Linked DNA regions of Nothobranchius furzeri. The protein of the gene in region 1 interacts with the protein of each later gene in a biochemical or structural test. Links are inferred from orthologs where the notes say so. Each region holds a gene or a part of one and is shown in the gene's direction. Other genes may lie near its edges. The genes, in order: pex5, ddo, pex12 and pex13.

The links.
Region 2: the proteins of pex5 (region 1) and ddo form a complex in vitro, tested with the Homo sapiens proteins (2 studies listed by BioGRID, with this or other methods). The link is inferred for Nothobranchius furzeri from reciprocal best matches to the Homo sapiens genes PEX5 and DDO.
Region 3: the proteins of pex5 (region 1) and pex12 form a complex in vitro, tested with the Homo sapiens proteins (2 studies listed by BioGRID). The link is inferred for Nothobranchius furzeri from reciprocal best matches to the Homo sapiens genes PEX5 and PEX12.
Region 4: the proteins of pex5 (region 1) and pex13 form a complex in vitro, tested with the Homo sapiens proteins (3 studies listed by BioGRID). The link is inferred for Nothobranchius furzeri from reciprocal best matches to the Homo sapiens genes PEX5 and PEX13.

The regions. Positions count from the first base shown.
Region 1 is NC_091745.1:74,169,139-74,172,945, forward strand, and holds part of pex5 (peroxisomal biogenesis factor 5), read left to right. Parts: intron 1-272; coding exon 273-363; intron 364-575; coding exon 576-698; intron 699-2,642; coding exon 2,643-2,756; intron 2,757-3,058; coding exon 3,059-3,142; intron 3,143-3,807.
Region 2 is NC_091758.1:20,540,881-20,545,470, reverse strand, and holds the start of ddo (D-aspartate oxidase), read left to right. Parts: upstream 1-1,695; 5' UTR 1,696-1,834; intron 1,835-2,560; coding exon of another isoform or gene 2,561-2,642; intron 2,643-2,724; coding exon of another isoform or gene 2,725-2,808; intron 2,809-2,899; coding exon of another isoform or gene 2,900-2,983; intron 2,984-3,116; coding exon of another isoform or gene 3,117-3,284; intron 3,285-3,374; coding exon of another isoform or gene 3,375-4,137; exon of another isoform or gene 4,138-4,159; intron 4,160-4,590. Other genes in the region: zbtb24 (zinc finger and BTB domain-containing protein 24), read right to left, coding at 2,561-2,642, 2,725-2,808, 2,900-2,983, 3,117-3,284, 3,375-4,137. UniProt on the Homo sapiens protein: Selectively catalyzes the oxidative deamination of acidic amino acids. Suppresses the level of D-aspartate in the brain, an amino acid that can act as an agonist for glutamate receptors. Protects the organism from the toxicity of D-amino acids.
Region 3 is NC_091758.1:14,500,513-14,504,975, reverse strand, and holds the start of pex12 (peroxisome assembly protein 12), read left to right. Parts: upstream 1-1,530; 5' UTR 1,531-1,701; intron 1,702-1,773; exon of another isoform or gene 1,774-1,776; 5' UTR 1,777-1,894; intron 1,895-2,105; 5' UTR 2,106-2,128; coding exon 2,129-2,251; intron 2,252-2,327; coding exon 2,328-2,863; intron 2,864-4,393; coding exon 4,394-4,463. UniProt on the Homo sapiens protein: Component of a retrotranslocation channel required for peroxisome organization by mediating export of the PEX5 receptor from peroxisomes to the cytosol, thereby promoting PEX5 recycling.
Region 4 is NC_091752.1:7,648,691-7,652,956, forward strand, and holds the start of pex13 (peroxisome biogenesis factor 13), read left to right. Parts: upstream 1-1,452; 5' UTR 1,453-1,555; coding exon 1,556-1,629; intron 1,630-2,230; coding exon 2,231-2,943; intron 2,944-3,176; coding exon 3,177-3,299; intron 3,300-3,736; coding exon 3,737-4,074; 3' UTR 4,075-4,266. UniProt on the Homo sapiens protein: Component of the PEX13-PEX14 docking complex, a translocon channel that specifically mediates the import of peroxisomal cargo proteins bound to PEX5 receptor.

The DNA.
Region 1 (3,807 bases):
GCGGATGTGTCGGGATAGATTTTAATTTCTCCTTAACTTTTTCTCTCTTCTACTTTTTTTGTAATTATACTGAGCTTATTGTGAGAAAAGCTCTCACTGAAGCATTTGATCAGAACGAATGCTCATGTAATGATTATCGGCCTTGGACTTCTCTTCACTGGCAACTATTTCAAAGTGCTGCTTTCAGCCTGAAATCATTTATTCCAGCCTGCAGAACCACGAGTAAACAGAGCTCTTACTGCAGCGTGATGGTGGTATTTTTGATCTGACAGGACAAAGGAGTATCAGGCTGAGGATGAGCTGAGACAAACGGCCAATGAGCTTGTCTCAAAGGTCGACGACCCCAAACTGCAAAACACCGAGGTGAGCAGCGTTTCTTCCACCCGTCGGGGATCCTCTTTATGCTGCACATCATTCGTTTTTACACATCTGTCACCATAATCTTCCTCTTCTGTAACATTTTCAGAGTAGATTTGTTTTTGTGAGACTGTTGTTTTGGTGTCGCAATCAATGAGCTGCTAATTTGCGAGACCTGACGGGTTAGTAATGGTAAATATTTTTTTGTTGTTGTGTAGTTCCTGCGATTCATTAGGCAGATTGGCGAGGGCAGTGTGACAGTGGAGAGCAGAACAGACAAACAGCTGACAGATAAAGTTCAGGCCGAGGAGGCTCAGAACTGGGCCTCCAACCTCAACCAGGTATGAGTCACAGCCCACTGAGGAGGGGGTGGTTTCAACTGGGAACACGTTAGAGTTCGGGTAGCGAATTGGCTCTTTTTTTTTTTTTTTTGCACAGCAAAGGCTCTGTCTCGTGACTCATCCCCTCAGTATCTGTACAAATTTTCCACAAATGTAACCAAATGAAGCCACGTTCTCCCTGTAATATGAATCTCAAGCCTGTAGAGAAGATGTGTTCTGCAAAGAGGACGGCTTCTCCTCGTGTGAGGGTAGCTCTTTGTTCCTGTGTCGACTCCGGCCACGGCTTTCTCAGAGCTGCAGCGAAATTTCCGAAATTCTGGTGCCAGATTTTATTTTTCAGCTAAGCGTGGAAGACCGTATCTGCCAAGAAACAAAGAAATACTAAATAAACAACAAACAGTAACTAGTTTATTGAAAAAGAAAACATAGAAGCTTGCCAAACTGGAAAAGAATAAAGGAGAATTGAAATGGCAAGTGGCATAAATGAAGATCAGGAGCTTTCCTTTACTTCAGCTTTTAAAAATTTAGAAGTTGACTTTAAAATATCAACTTTACATTTATTGTTCAGGATATTTGGTCTAGTAATTAAAACAAAACTTACAAGTAGTTTTTCTCCATCTTTAAAGTAACACAGAGCAGGTTCCTGCTCCTCCCCCTACTGGCTGAAAGTGGAATTACAATTGTCGTAAACAACCCTGCTGCAGCCTGCTGTAGCTAGCGCTAACAACGAGCTAACACTAACACGAGACAACTAATACTAAAATAAACCATGAAGTAAAAAGATTCACACTGTTGGACAAAAATATTACTTACAAGTCCCGTAGCAACAAGGCCAGGTCACCATCAGTCCGTGGCTTTTGTAGCCTCCTTCAGCTCCCTCAAATTTGTGTAGGCCACGCCGATGTTCACTCTGGTTTTAGCTCTTTGCTTCACCTCCAAAGACATTCCTCTCTTACTTTTACTTCCAGGCTCCGCCATGACACCAGCCTTCTTGTGCTTTTTATTTGACGATCTGCATTCTGAAAATGCTAACCGCTAGCATTACAGCTAACAGCCATAAAACAGGTTAAGACCACCCTCTACAGGGCACCTACCCGCTCCACAAAATGATCAAGCGTGGTTTTTGGCCAGCAGAGGGCTGCAGAGTGGTGTCAAAGATTAAACTGATCAAGTTTCTAACTCAATAATCACTGAGATCAATATTAAAGCTCCAGCTTAAAGAATCTATCTGTTGTTACTTTAACCCTTCAAAGTGTAAAAGGCCGAAACGCCCATCAGTTTCTTGCTCCAACACACCTGATTCATTGGATCAATCACCTGTTCACCAGGCTCTGCAAAGGCCTGTTAATCACCTGCTCATTGAATACAGGTGTGTTGAAGCAGGGAAACTACTAAAACATCCAGGATACCGGCCATCCAGGACCAGGATTAGGCACCCCTGAATGCTCTTTTTTTTTTCTTTCTTGCAGACTTTTATAATTTACTTCTTTTAATTTGTTTATTTAGAATTTAAAAGTGTTTACTGTTTTCCCCTTAGCGCTATCGCATTGGTCCATCATGGCTTTATGTTGCATTTGAAATGGTTTAAGCCCAAATTCTCTGTCCTAATTTGTTGCTTTTATTCCTTTATTTAATGCTCTCTTTTTCGTCCTTTTCTTGGTGAAAATGGGTTTAGACTCTTAATCCTGCTTTGCTTGGACTGTTTATATTCTTTCATATCCTTTGACTTTGACACATACTGTTCCCATTTTTGACCAGCCTTCAAACTCTTGGCTTGGCATTCCCTCAACAACAAAAAACTGCTTTCATTTCTTACGATTGTGTTTAAAACGATGCTTATTCCACCCACCCTTCCAAAACCAAACCTCCCCACCAACTGCTTCCTTCCCCTCAAAAACGATGTCCCCGCTTGTCACCGCCACCCCTCCTCGCCTCCCATCGTAGTTCCTGACGGAGACGGGGGGAGGGAGTCTTCCCTTGGAACCTCCAGAGACGAATCACCAGATTGACAAAGTTAAAGCTAAACAAGCAGAGCAATGGGCCAAAGTCGTCAGGCAGGTAGGCCCTTTGGGGTCGTGGCAGCAGAAGGTGTTTATTTTTTGTGTTAGAAGTTAATTTTTGTCTATTTTATTCCTACGTGAACATTTGAGATGCAAGTAGCGTCTGATGCTGCTAGAAGTAGAATTAGGAAGAAGTAAAAGCGGGTTGTAGCAAATTACCTAGTCTCTGCTTTCATCGCTGCTTCCTTTATGTTCTGGCTTCATCTCGCCTGTTTTTAAACGTCCCCATCCTTCGTTCTCGTAGGAGTTGGCGTGGCCAGTGAGAACAGACTCGTAGCAACCGTTGTCATTTCTCTTCAGGTTTCAGAGGAGTCGGCGGAAGCCTGGGTGGACGAGTTCGCTGCATCTGGGCCAGATTTTCAACAAGCTAAAGCGGCGGTGGAGGTAAATGTGAGAAAACCTCTAACCCAAATGTGGGGTATAGGGTCGTCACGGTGTGAAAATTTAACCTCACGGTTATTGTGACCAAAATTATCACGGTTTTCGGTATTATCGCGGTATTTTTTTAAACGTGTTAAATTTTCAGACCACTAAATAAACCCTGCTGTATGTCAGGAAAAGATTGTCCGCAGTTTGTGTCTAAATTTTGTAGGGCTGCAGCTATCGAATATTTTTGTAATCGAGTACTCTAATAAATTACTCTTTTGCGTTTTGTAAACCCTTGTATCAAATAGCATGTTATAAAATATGAAAGACCTCTTGAAATGAGCAAGCAATTGCCAGTTATTCTTCAAGTTTTATTCAAATTTAGTTTTCAAAACTTCAGCACTTCAACTTTACGTCACAGTAAACAAATTCAAGCGGCTGCAGCCCAAACAGAACCAGAACCGCTCACGGCGCATGCGCAAACATGGCTCGCCAGCTGTTTCCCTATTAACACACGTCCGTTTTAATTTCTACACTTTTTTTCTCACACTAACAAGGATTGTCGAAAGCATGTTTACCGTGGTTATGTCAAATTATACTGATCACAAAACATTTATTTACTTCCTTTCGTTTTCCTCCGCCGCTCATAAATACCGGTGTCCTCCTGCAGCAATCCTGAGGGA
Region 2 (4,590 bases), on another chromosome or scaffold:
CCGCCACAGGAGGCGCTACTCTCCCTTGTCATTCAAAGTATATCTGCCTAGGAGAAGCTACAGCTAAACCGCAGATTAACTGTTTGTTGAGATTTAAAGGTAAAATACATTTATGTGTGTGAGTTTGTCACGTCCTTTGAGTGATTCTGTCACGTTTATTTGAGTGATTTTGTCACCTTTGTTTATGCTTGTGTGGACTCGGACCAGAGAAGGTCCGACGTTAGCACCAGAGCTGAACAGCTTTAACCGAGGTCTGATCAACGTGGTTAGTCCGGGCAAAACCGGACATTTTCCGAAGTTTATACCGGATTATTCCAGGCAGAGACCTGAAGCTGCAGTCGTAAACCGGCTCAGAAACGCGCAAATATTCCTTTTAGCTCATCTCAAGCACCGGCTGCTACATTAGCTCCGGGTGGAGGGGCGACGTAACGACGTACCATACCGTTTAAATTCCCGCTATCCCGACAAATTAAATTACGAGAACCTGTGGAAGAAATACCGTGGTCGAAGAGGTTAATTCCCCTAGAGTTAATGCGTAAACGCCTGATCAAGCAATCAAGGCCTGACGCTGACGTGTTTATACAGTTAGCTGTTGAGCCCGGAGATAAAACACTGAAGCTCCTTCAGGTTTTATCGACAATCCGCCCCAGCGAGTACGCGTCTCCAATCAAATCCCTTCAGGGTACACATTTTGGTTTATAAACCGCCGCGTTTGAACAAATATACTTATAAAAAAACGATCTAATCAGCTGAGGGTTATTTTATGTCGAAGAGATTGTGACCGGAAGTAACGCAATAGTGTCTTCTTCTCTGACCAAATTCCTTCATCGACCGGTACCGCCACCTATTGGCAGGTATTAGTCCGGCAGCTTCAGCAAAAGCTTATTAAACCCAGTTCATCGCAAAATTAAAGGTTCTGTGGAGTCATCAACAAGTCTGCAGACCGGGATAAACTTTTGATGGATTTTCTAACTGAAATGAAAGGGGACATTCAACAGCAGCTCTCCAATTTAAACCAGAAATTCCAAACTTTGGATGAAAAGATTATATCTTTAGATAAAAGACTTGATGCTATTGAGAATGCTTCCTGCCCTGGAGAGGTCTTAACCCTTTCTTCTGCTGATCTGCCTCCAGATATGGAACAAAACCTGCAACCAGATAAGCTGACTGACTCAGATTTTCAAGAAGCTGGAAAAAATTCAAATTTTGCCCTAGCGACATCACATGACATGCAGATCTATTGGCGTAAGGTCAAAGGTCATTCTCGTGCACCCGGAACTGACAAGGATCTGAACAATCTTGCAGACTCTCATGCCAAACAATGTGCAGCTGTTGGTACCCCATGGTCCTTCAACCCCTTGTGCTACCCGACGATGTGTCCTTTCAGTCAGACCCACCCCGTGTGTGTGTCGTGGCTCGAGCTCAGGCCTCTAACGCGTCCACTCCTCGACCATCCGATGGCGTTGTGTCTGTTCAACCGGTCTTTTCTGAAAACAACCTTGTCAGTCTTCAGTCCCAGGACCCTGCTATCAGCAGGATGATCCTGTACCTTTCTGATCCGACAGCTCATCTGCCTTCTTCTGTTGAGCTCGACTCCGTTCCTGAGCTCCGTGCTCTCTTTCGTGTTCGTGTCATTCCCTCTTTAGGTGTTGTTAACTACAACGGCGCCGTCAGAGTGACCATTCTGTCCGCAGCCTCCAAGGTCAGTGACACCCACAGAGTCTGACGGTTGCAGTGGCACTCCACCTGAGACTCCAGTTTCTTCTACGGACCTCGGTGCCTAGAAGTCCGAGGACTTCGACATTCCGTATCTATCAAAAGTGTCTTCGAGTAGGTATGTAGACACACAGATAGCGTCGGATGTGTTTTGATAATAACCAACTCCATAGCTCAATGCAAACCAAATTCTTTTACATCCAGAACTCAGCTCTCCTAGACACGGAAGTTCTGACTAACACCATTCACACATAGGTTCCTACATCACATCTAGTTCCATCCACTCACAGTAAATGCTTAGTTAACTTGTCATGTTTTAACTGTTTGTAATAATAAATTCGTACTTTTATAAACCTGACTCTTTTCTGAATCAAAACGAAGTGTGTACAATCCCCCTGATAAAGCAAGAATCCTAGATCTTCTGACTAAACACCGTAAAGACCAAGCAGGGTTGATATTCTATATTTAGATAGAGTACCACAGCCTATTGGTCAAAAGTAGAGGTAATATATATCTTGAGCTCTTAGAACACTCAATTTGCCAAACCCTACACAGGCTCTGTTGCTACTTGACTTGAAAGTAATATATGGTTGTTGTTTTTTTGTCAAACAATGTGGAACGTTTAACTTTTTGGCTGATTTAGCATCAGTTGGCTCCTGTTAGCATTAGCTCATTGTTAGAGCTAGCTACAGCAGGCTGTCGCATGGATGTTCAGTTGTAATTCCACATTCAACCAGTAGGAGGGGGAAACTTATTTATTTAAGGAGAGCTTAGAACTGAACAGGATGTATGAAAAACACTTCACTAGCAGGCTGCACACGCTACACGATTCCTGTCTGCTCACCTGTGAATCCTGATGTGAGTCTGTAGTGTGCTCTTGGCTGTGAAACGTTTCCCACAAATCTCACAAGTGAACGGCTTCTCGCCTGTGAAAATAAGGATTTAAAAAAATATAAAAGTATACAGTCATTTTATTAGGGCTCAATCAACAGCAGCAGGTGATGTCACCTGTGTGAGTTCTGAGGTGCTTCTTCAGCTGGGCTGCATCCATGAACCTATGATGACACTGAGCACACTCTGGTAATGACTGACCTTTGGGAAAACATGAAAAAAGAAGGAATTGTGCAGTTTAAAGTTTGAAAGTACAGCAAATAACCCGTCACAGGCTTTGGCTCGATCTTACCGGTGTGAACTCGGTAATGGCTTTTAAGTTGCTTCTTCTGATTGAACGTCTTTCCGCATTTATCACAATCAAATAATAATCCAACTAGGGGAAAAAAATGCAAACAAAATCATTTAAAACCTGTACCAAAATATCAAAAACAAGACCAAGGCCTTTATACATGTTTGTAAAATGCTTATAACAGAATAAAACTGGTTCTGACTGGATCTGATCCTACCTTCGTGGAGGGTCATGTGCTCTTGTAGAGAGTGTTTGGTAGAAAGTGCTTTGGAGCAGATGGAGCAGACGAAGGGCTTTTCTCCAGTGTGGATGCGCTGGTGAGCCAGCAGAGTGTGCTTCTGGGTAAACTTTTTCCCACAGACCAAGCACAGGAAAGGTTTCTCTCCTGAGGGAAAACAGAAACGTCATCCAGGTGTTCGGCAAACAAATGAAATTGATGTAGTTGTGGATATTTTACTGGATCTGAAGACGTTACCAGTGTGAGTCCTTTGGTGGATCTTTAAAAACAGGTGGTGTTTGAACACTTTCTCGCAGTCCTCACACCGGGCCTCTGTATTGGGGTATTTTCTTCTGCTTGCACTCCTCCCAGATTCTTTACTTCCTGTTTCACAGTCAATTTTGTATCCCTTAAATTTCACCGGCGTCCTGATTTTGCGTTTGCTGAGATGTCGCTGCTCAGCTTCAGAGTCGTGATCTTTGCTGTGTGTAGACCTGGTTTCCTTGTCTTCAGCATGTCTGTCCACTGAGCTCTCTCCATGCGCTCCTGCACTTTTCTTTGGTCGTCCTCTTTTGCGTTTCGTCAAATCTGCCCCCTCTGCTCTGCCGGCTTTTATGTTGTCAGGTTTGACCGCTGCTGTAGAGCTCGTGAGCTCTGTGAGCACTTTGACCAGCTCGCTGACCTCCGTGAGATGAGCCGCAGCCAGAAGCTGCTCCATGGCGCTCTCCTCCACCGACACCTGGGCGCTGTAGATGAACTCTAGTACGGCAGCAAACATCTTCGCCGCCATGCCGTCCAGCCGACATGTGGACTTTTGGTCTTCTGTCGTGAACATGTTGGAGAAGAACTCGCTGCTCGCTGCCAGCAGGGCTTTGTGAGCCTTGAAGTGAGCGTTTTCCACAACAACAGTGACATCACACAGCAGGTCCCTTTTCCTGAGCTTGTCAAATTTACCCAGAATGCTCTGCTTATGTGAATCTGAGTAAAGAGCCAGGAAGGACGAAGACTTTATCTGAGACATCTCCTCAAAATGTCCGCTGTTCCTGAAATGATAAAAAACTTAAGATATCAGCAAATAATTGGAATGTTATTAAAGAAGTCATTCACTCATGTTTTTAATACGTTGGACTCTAGTAGGAATTAGGGCTGGGCAACATCGATATTTTTAAAATATCGATATAATTTCAAACAAGAAACATGATGACTATATTGATATAACTAGTCAAGTCGCTAGCTTAGTAGCTAGCGCTGGCTGCTATGCTACACACATATATAACAGACAGCTGTAGCAGTGTTTCTAAAGCTCAGACTGGTAGAGAATGGGCAGTTAAGGTTAATGTTTGGCAATAATCAATACATTTAATCTACTGATGAATTTATGTAGATAAGTTTCTCAAGACAGCATGAAGGGAGCTAACTTGTAAATCTTTTAAAGGAGGAAAAATATTGAGATAGATATTGTATATCAGAATTC
Region 3 (4,463 bases), on another chromosome or scaffold:
GGTCCCATACCATCAGATTGCTACACCTGCCGGCTCTTCCCACTGAACATCATCCTCACTGCCATCCAATACATCTATGCATGCAATGTTTGATGCCTCTGCTGAATTGACCACCGTCATCTTAAAATTAGCATCATATCTCTGCCTTGGTAGCTTGTTCACTTGCCCCACTTTCAATCCACTCTGCTGCAGACCTCCCGTCTCCATTTTCTTCTCCGGTTGAGAACATACAGCCTGGCGCCCTCTGCTGTTTTGGTCGTGTAACGACCCCAGATAAATATCGGCATGTGTGAAAGCTTAGACCCCGATTATAAGACGACCCCACATTTAAAATTATTTTCAATGAAAAAACCTCGTCCTATATTCAGGTCAATGCGGTTCTTTAAGACATATTATTGACCAAAATGATTTTTTATTGATGTATAAATTGCATCATATATTTATTTATTCTTAATGAAGCCAACTGAGCGGGGCTAATGCTGTTTAATTGTAAATTATGATGTGCACATTAATGTAGTCTTGGGCGGAAGGGGCTGGAGCCTCCATTTTCCTAGTTACAATCTATTCAAACATCAGGACAGGATTGCGCTTTTATACACTGATGTCCATTGACAATCGAATATGTGTGGGTGCATGGTTTATTTGTACCTTATAATTAACCAGATTCTGAGAAATAGATTACCATGGCAACGCATGTATCCAAGGATCACCACAAACAAGTCTCTTGGAAATAATGTAGAAAGTCTAATTCTGAGCCGATAACCTACTGCTGTTTTTGGGTTTTCTGAGCTCTCTACACTTAAAACTACCAACATAACTGACATTTTTTACCATGGCAACAGAAGGAACTAAGGATCACTCTAATCAAGTCTCACTGGAGTGAATATAAAAAGCCGAATATTGAGCCAATAACAGACTGCTGTATCTGATCTTTCTGACCTATCTCTACTTAACTTACATTTTATTGATCGTCAGAAGGCGGGAAAGTGCCTCACCCCCTCCCAGCTCTCTGATTGGCTCATCACCACCTGTGTGTGAATGAATGGGTAAATGATACACTGTAATGTAGAGTGCTTTGGAGTCCTCTGACTCAGAAAGGCGCTATACAAATGCGGGTCATTTATCATTTATTTCTGGAAACCCAAGTTTCCTTTATTATTTGTTGTTTTTAGTGTTTTAAGTTTACAATAATAGCCTTTGTGTGCTTATCTGTAATCATATTATTTTTCTGCTTCCTTTTCTCCATGTGTATGTGCTGCTGAAACGAGTAAACGCCACCACTGCAGGATTAATAAAGTATATTATATTTATTCCTGTGTCTGTTTTAAAAGGGCTTGGCATTCTAGGGGTTAAACTAAATGGTGAAGCTCGGGAGAATGACAGCAGATGCGCTTGATGGCTGCCAACACTCGTGTTTAATGGAGCTGGAGGACAATTGGAAAAAAGGAAACCTAAATGAGACACTTCCCCGCACATCCAGTAGGTGGCGGTAAGCTCCGCTGCAGCTGTAGAAGAAGTTCCGGTTCCGGAAGCAGCTGGAATGGACTTTAATGGTTAATAACGTAAATAATTTACAGGAGTGAGCGGCGACAGAACAATCTTTCAGACGTTTGCTGCAAGGTCTCACGCAGCTTTAGCGCTTCTGTCGTGGATTCGCGGCGCTGTTAGCTTCTTGCCAACAGCCGGAGAAGACAGCCGGACGTGAGTTTGTCCACCGCTGAAAAACAGAAAGCATTAAATTATTTAGAATCCTGTAAAAATGTGTTTCTGTAGTAGGTCTGAACGCGCAATGGACCGGAACCACTAGCACGGTGACGGTTCGGAAGGGGTACTGTCTAGATGTCCATGCCCGTGGTGCCGCTGCAGGTGGGAGAGAACCCAGGAGAGTTCACCTGTGAGTGTCGCCGGAAGTGTGCAGTCACACATTAAAACACTCCCGTGATCATAAGCACCGGTTCTACAGAAGAGCGCTTTATTCCACCTTTACTCGTGCTAGCAAACATAACGGACATGATAATTTATATAAATGTTACAGAACAGCAGCACTTTGTGTTGACCTGTTGTGAATAAAGGTGAGTTTGAGTTCAGAGTGGTTTGGATTTTAGGACCCGGTTCTGTAGCAGCAGCCATGGCGGAGGCTGGAGCCCATCTCACCTCGGCCGCTGTCGGTGAGCAGCCCTCCATTTTTGAAGTTCTGGCCCAGGAGTCACTGATGGAGGCAGTGAAACCAGCGCTGAGGCATGCCGTCAGGGTAGGTGTGCTGCACTCAGCTCTGCTGCACAAGCACAAATGTTTTCTGAACATCATAGAGGTCTGTGGCCCTGCAGGTTCTGGCTGAATCCAACCCGTCTCACTTTGGCTTCCTGTGGAGAAGCTTTGATGAACTGTACCTGCTGCTGGACCTGATCCTCCAGAACCACTTCCTGCGTCACTGCAGCGCCTCCTTTTCGGAGAACTTCTATGGTCTGAAGAGGGTTTCAGGCCAGCAGGCACCTCCAGCTCACCTAGGTCTGCTCAGGAGGTCCCGCTGGCTTTCTCTTCTTCTTCTGTGCCTGGCTCCGTACCTACGGGCCAAGCTGGAGGTGAGGCTGGCACGGCAGAGGGATGAGGAGGACTTCTCCATCAGGTTGGCTCAGACCCGGAAAGAGCGGCTGTATCGAGCAGCAGTGGCAGCTTACCCATATGTCAGCTCAGCCTGGCAGGCCTGGATCTTCTGCCAGCAGCTGCTGTTTGTGTTTGGGGTCACCAGGACTCACAGCCCCCTGATGTGGTTTGCCAACGTCCGGCTGGCTCGCCTCAGTGCTCAGGATATTCGAGTCATGGAGCAGAAAATGAGCAGCATCGGCCCCACAGCAGATAAGAGGTACTTTACTCTTGATTATGACTTCGCACCGTAAACATTCCAATACAGTTAAGTTCATTAAAGAGAAAGTCACACCAAAATCTGGTTTTTTGCTGATAACTTGTATAAATAAGTGTATTGTAGTGTTGTAGACATGTCTAGTTGTTATTTTTGGTGCATTTTCTTTAAAAACTTAAAATTCAGCCTAAAACCTTAAGTCCAGCGCCCTCTTCAGCTCTAAATTATTCTACACTAATTGACAACAGCAGTTTGAACTCCGTCTGACCAATGGGTGAAAGGTCCCATGTAAATGATAAATTAATGATAAATGACCCGCACTTGTAAAGCGCCTCTCAGAGGAAGGACTCCAAAGTGATTTACACTACAGTGTATCATTTACTCATTCACACACACATTCACACACTGATGGTGATGAGCTACGATGTAGCCACAGCAGCCTTGAGGCGAGGCTGAGCCTGTCACATCTCTGTGGCTGTAGGTTATAAAAGCATCGCGGTCTCAGCCACATGTGTGTGTGTGTGTGTGTGTGTATGTGGCATTATGTTATGTTATACCCAAAGTACCTACAATCATCAATCGAACATCAAAGGTTCATTAACTCATTCACTGCCATTGACGACTAAAGTCGTCATTTGCATTTTTTTACTGTTTGAGCATCGCAACGAGCCCCCGCGCTCAGAGAACAAACATCTCAGCCCTGAAGCCGATCTTCATCCGCATACGTCACAGATCACATGCTCAGGAAGCATCACATCCATGTGTTAGGAGATCGTTTTGGGCCGTTTCTGTAAAAAAAGTGAGGCGCGAACCGGAAAAGCGTCTGCCGATCACAATTCAACAACGGATTATGAAAGAACGGATAACGCTCGAAACACGCGGCTTCTTCCTGATGTAAGAGGTGAGTCTCCTCTTTGTTTTGGTTGTTTTGGCGTCGACATCATGCTAGCGCGCAACGTTCTGTGACTCTTAAAAAAACAGTAAAAACGGTGAGAAACGCTGGCAGCGAAGGCCGTTAGTGATCAGGAAACAGCTGGCAGTGAATGGGTTAATATTGATAAACCATACTTTAATGGAATATTACATTGTATTGAATACCTTTATATTCTATAGATAAGTTATTAAAAGTAACCACTTACAAACCTTACATGAGCACCACGTGTTCATCATGTAGAAATGTTTGTGTGGAAGAGCAACAGCTACAATGTGTACTACTATGTTGTAATGTGTGTGTTTTTGAGGCCTTGTGTGTGATGTCTGTAGGCCAAGTCTGGTTTTTCACCAAGAGTGAAAGGTTTTGAGTGTAGAGCTTCATTTTGACCTGAAAATGTGATGTTTGGGAAGTTGGGTGAGATGTTATGGATGTGTGTTTACTGTTTGGAGAATGTGAGGAATCGAGAAAAACTGTAAACCCGACCGCTTCCTAAACTCCAGCGTGGAGACCAGAAAGTGGATCAGAACCAACCGGAGGAGCCTTCTTGATCAGGGCAACACTGTACTGACTGATGGGTCAATGTTCGTGTGTGTTTGCAGCCTGTTGCAGCGAGCCTGGTGGCTGGTGTCTCAGACGGCGAAGGGGGTGGCCATCTCTCTCTCCACTTCC
Region 4 (4,266 bases), on another chromosome or scaffold:
GGAGCTGCTAACAAATACAGACACACACAGGCTCACGACAGCATTGTGACATCATAATGTACCAGTTTGCATCATAGCATACCTCTTAGCCAATAGTGGTGGCAGATTTAAATTAGAATACAGTGCAGTTGTATCTGTCAATGGCACAACACTGCCAGTTTTAGGCAGAATATTTAAATTTTAACTAAGATGCACTGAAGTGCCAAATTATTGACGACACGTGTCTGCAGCACGATTAGATACTCGTTTATTTGGTTTATCAGCAAAAAAATGTTTATTGGGGGGTGACTTGCTCTTTAATGAGATCACAGAAATGTAATGTTTTCCAACAAACAGAAATAATTTAACTGAATATCCTTTTTCTACATAAACCTCCGTTTTTTACTGGTTCTCCTTTTTAGATCAGATGTTTAAACTTCCAGGTAAAGTTAAATTGGATGTCTGATCTTTCAGTTAATTTTTTAAAAAGATCATAGTAAATTAGTTTTCATCTTTTCACAAATGAAAATGTTCCTCTGAATCCAGCTTTCAAGTAGGTTTTGATTCTTTTGCAACAGCATGAAAAACAGGTTTTTGTTGGGTTTATTATTATTTTTAATCAAGAAGGTTTTTAGGTGCAGAAAATTATAAAGAGTGAAATCCTAACGTGACAGTACACACGTATGAGCTGTGAATCCTATGGATTTTTGTTATCAGAATTTGTTTTGGTTAAAAGATTCTGATGTTAAAACTGCACTCATGCTGTACTGCTATCCTTTTCCTGTAAGATATTATTGTAAAAACATCACTAAATTATCTGTTCTTCCTCATGCAGATGTGGAGTTGTGCCAAATAAAACATTTTAAAGATTATGTCAAGAAATAAATGTGGGGTGACATTGAGAAGAGTGATTTTTGTATTGATTTTTTTGTTTTTGTTAGTTGCTTATTTACTGTAATATATTTTACAAATATTCTACAAAGTTCGCTGTTTAATCTGATGGGAGTTTTCCATGTAAACAAAAGTGCTGTTGCTATTTGCATTTTTTTACACACACACACACACACACACACACACACACACACACACACACACACACACACACACACACACACACACACACACACACACACACACACACAGATATTAAATTTTATTATATTTACCTTTAACCTGCTGCTGAGAGATAGTTTCACATTTCTGTTATTGTGTGTAGCGTCCTCTGCTGGCCACTTACAGATTGTTACGTTAACGCTGATCGAAAGAGAAAATGATTTACAAATTGTAATCCTCTGGAATAATCTCTGTTTAGTCCAATAATGTTTTGAATTTAAAAGGCAAATTAAACAAATGTGTGCATTTTTCCTGCGAAATAAATTACCACATCAGAGGTTTAGCCTTTAGCCTCGGCTATTACCATTAAAACCACAAGGGGGCAGAAAAGCATCAATGATTCATACTTGGGTTAAAGAAGGTAAGAATTTAGCACCAACGAAGAAGAAGGCCACAGTAGAGACAACTTGGGGACGAGGGCAAATATTGCTATATTTCTACCCTTGCGGGCTAATATTTAGCAATGGATTCTCAACCTCCACCTAAACCGTGGCAAGGGCACATTCCAAGAGTTATGAGTGCGCCAGTAAATTACAGGTAAATAATAATGTTACTTGCTCGCTCTCGCGTGTTTACCTGTCACAGCTGGCTCGTAAGTTAGCCAAATGCTAACGCTAATGATCAAGGGCCACTATAAACAACATGTTCAATCAAAACCAATGTCCTTTTTGTTCGGAGCTCGAATAACGACTTAGTTGTGTTTCAGCAGCTCATAAGTTGTTTACGACAACCGTTTAATCAAAATGTAGTTAGCTAGAGCTTCGTTACAGCGTTTTGTTGCTTTGCCTTTAATAAACGTTAAAGCCACTCACAGCATTTACTGTTTTTTACATTAGTGTACATGTCCTCTAACTTTAGATTTTTGCCCGTCTTTTGTGGTTTTAAATGCCTTTTATCAACACGCCTGCTCTGATCCACTGATTTTACACGCTTAACTGGCATTAGCCCAAAGCAGAGCACTTAAAAAGAGAAAACGCTGGCAGCGAAGGGTTTTTCTGATCAGGAAACGGCTGGCAGTGAATGAGTGAAATTATTTTAGCTTCTTTTCAACAACTCTGGTCATGCATGTTTTAGTTCTTCCTGAAAACGCACAGGAAACAGCTGTTCTGTATCTTAGCTTGTTTTTCTCACCAAATAGGTCTACCGGCTTTGGGCCCGCTGCAGGAGTCGCCTCCACTTCTGTGGGTCCTCCTGTCCTGACCAGGATGGCTCCTCCAGTGCCCCCCCGGCCTGTCCAGCAGTCCTATCGTCCATCCTACAACTCCTTCATGCCTTCGCACAGTCCGTATGGGAGTTCCTTCTATGGCGGCTACAGCCCCTACTCTTACGGTAGTGGATTCAACTCAGTGGGCTACAGACACTTCCCCCCCCGAGAGGACGTTGTCCCCAGCCGGTTTGTGCAGCAGGCCGAGGAGAGCAGCCGTGGTGCCTTCCAGTCCATTGAGAGCATCGTCCAGGCCTTCTCTTCGGTCAGCATGATGCTCGACGCCACCTTCTCAGCGGTGTACAACAGTTTTCGAGCGGTGCTGGATGTCGCTAACCATCTAACGAGGCTGCGTGCTGACCTCACTAGAGTTCTGTCAGCTTTTGCTTTTGTCCGAACATTGCGTTACCTGTACAGATGGTTGCAGCGACTTCTGAGGAGGGGGCGGCCAGACGCAGATGCTGAGGACTTGTGGGCTGACAGCACTAGTGATGTTCTTGCTACGAGTTCATCTAGAGGTAACGGAGCAGGCGCTGAGGATCAGCGTGTGAAGTCCTGGCCGGTCTTCCTGTTCTTTGCTGTAGTCCTCGGCGGCCCCTACCTCATCTGGAAACTTCTCAGCTCCAGTGCTGCCAGTGAAGAAAACAGTAAGGCTTGTGTTTCATGTTCTTCTGTCTCCAAACCTGCTTCTGTGTTTATTCCAACTCATTATTTGATGTTTAAAGCTGTTTTCTGACACAAGACTTCTCAGTAAATAGACTAGTAAAGACTCAGTGGTGACAGACGGGCGAGAATCAGTTCAACTTGGACTCCACAGCTTGTACAACAACACTAACCGTTGTCTTTACCTGCTTTCAGTGAAATTGTTCTGTTTGTTTAGCTACTGACTGGGCCAGCGGGGAGGACGATCACGTTGTGGCCCAAGCTGAGTTTGGGTTTTCAGCAGCTTCTGAGGAGGAGCTTTCTCTGCAGGCTGGAGATATGCTTAACCTCGCCCCTAAAGGTAGAAGCTTTGAACATAACCTGTCTTCGAGTTTAAACTGGTTTAAAAAAGCGGCATTTGTAGTTCAAAATATGTGAAAAGTATTACCTTCGTGTGGTTTTTATCCCTTTCTGTGTCGTCCACTCAGGTTACTTTTAAAATGAGATTTCATATTTTGAATGTTGTATGATATTTTTGTTGATGAAGATGTTTAATTGAACAATTATGATTTCAGTTTTCACTTTAGGAGAGTTTCTAATCTGTTTTAAGCTCTGACACAGAAACAGAATCCGCCTTTGTTTTGTTTTTTATCTCCAAAGCTATAATCTGAAAGCTTCAACACATCGTCTCAGACAAGCCTGTTTTCATAGACATCCTGCGACAGTGTGACGTTCACTGTCCAGAACATTTTCTCAACTTCTTCGAGACTAAAACTTGTTTCCCCTCCTCGTGTTTAGAGCAACAACCCCGGGTGCGTGGCTGGTTGCTCGCCAGCGTTGACGGTCAGACCACAGGTCTCGTTCCTGCCAACTACGTGAAAGTCCTTGGCAAGAGGAGAGGGCGCAGGCATGCCGAGATGGAGAGGCTTGCTCAGGTTCAGCCAGGAATGGCGCCGGCTTCTGCAACGGCCTCGACTCCGCAGTCGCACTCGCCTGCAGCTCAAGATTTTAACCGAGATCTTTCCACGGCGTCTGCAGAGCAGCTTGAGTCGGCGTATGGAGCAGCGCCAGCCTCTTTCAGTTCCAGCATGTCCTCCGACACATTGATAAACATCCCGGAGAAGGATGACCTGTGACGATCGAGTCTGAACGAGAAAAATGTTATTCAAACACTGTTTTAGTTCGTCTGAGATTAGCTTTTCATTTAATCTGTCTGAGCTTTAGGCGTCTGTGTTTGTTGAGTGAAGCGAAAGGACTTTGATTCATTCAGAGATGTCTAATTTTTCCCAATTTTATCGGTTAATCAATCACTCAATGTAAATATTTAA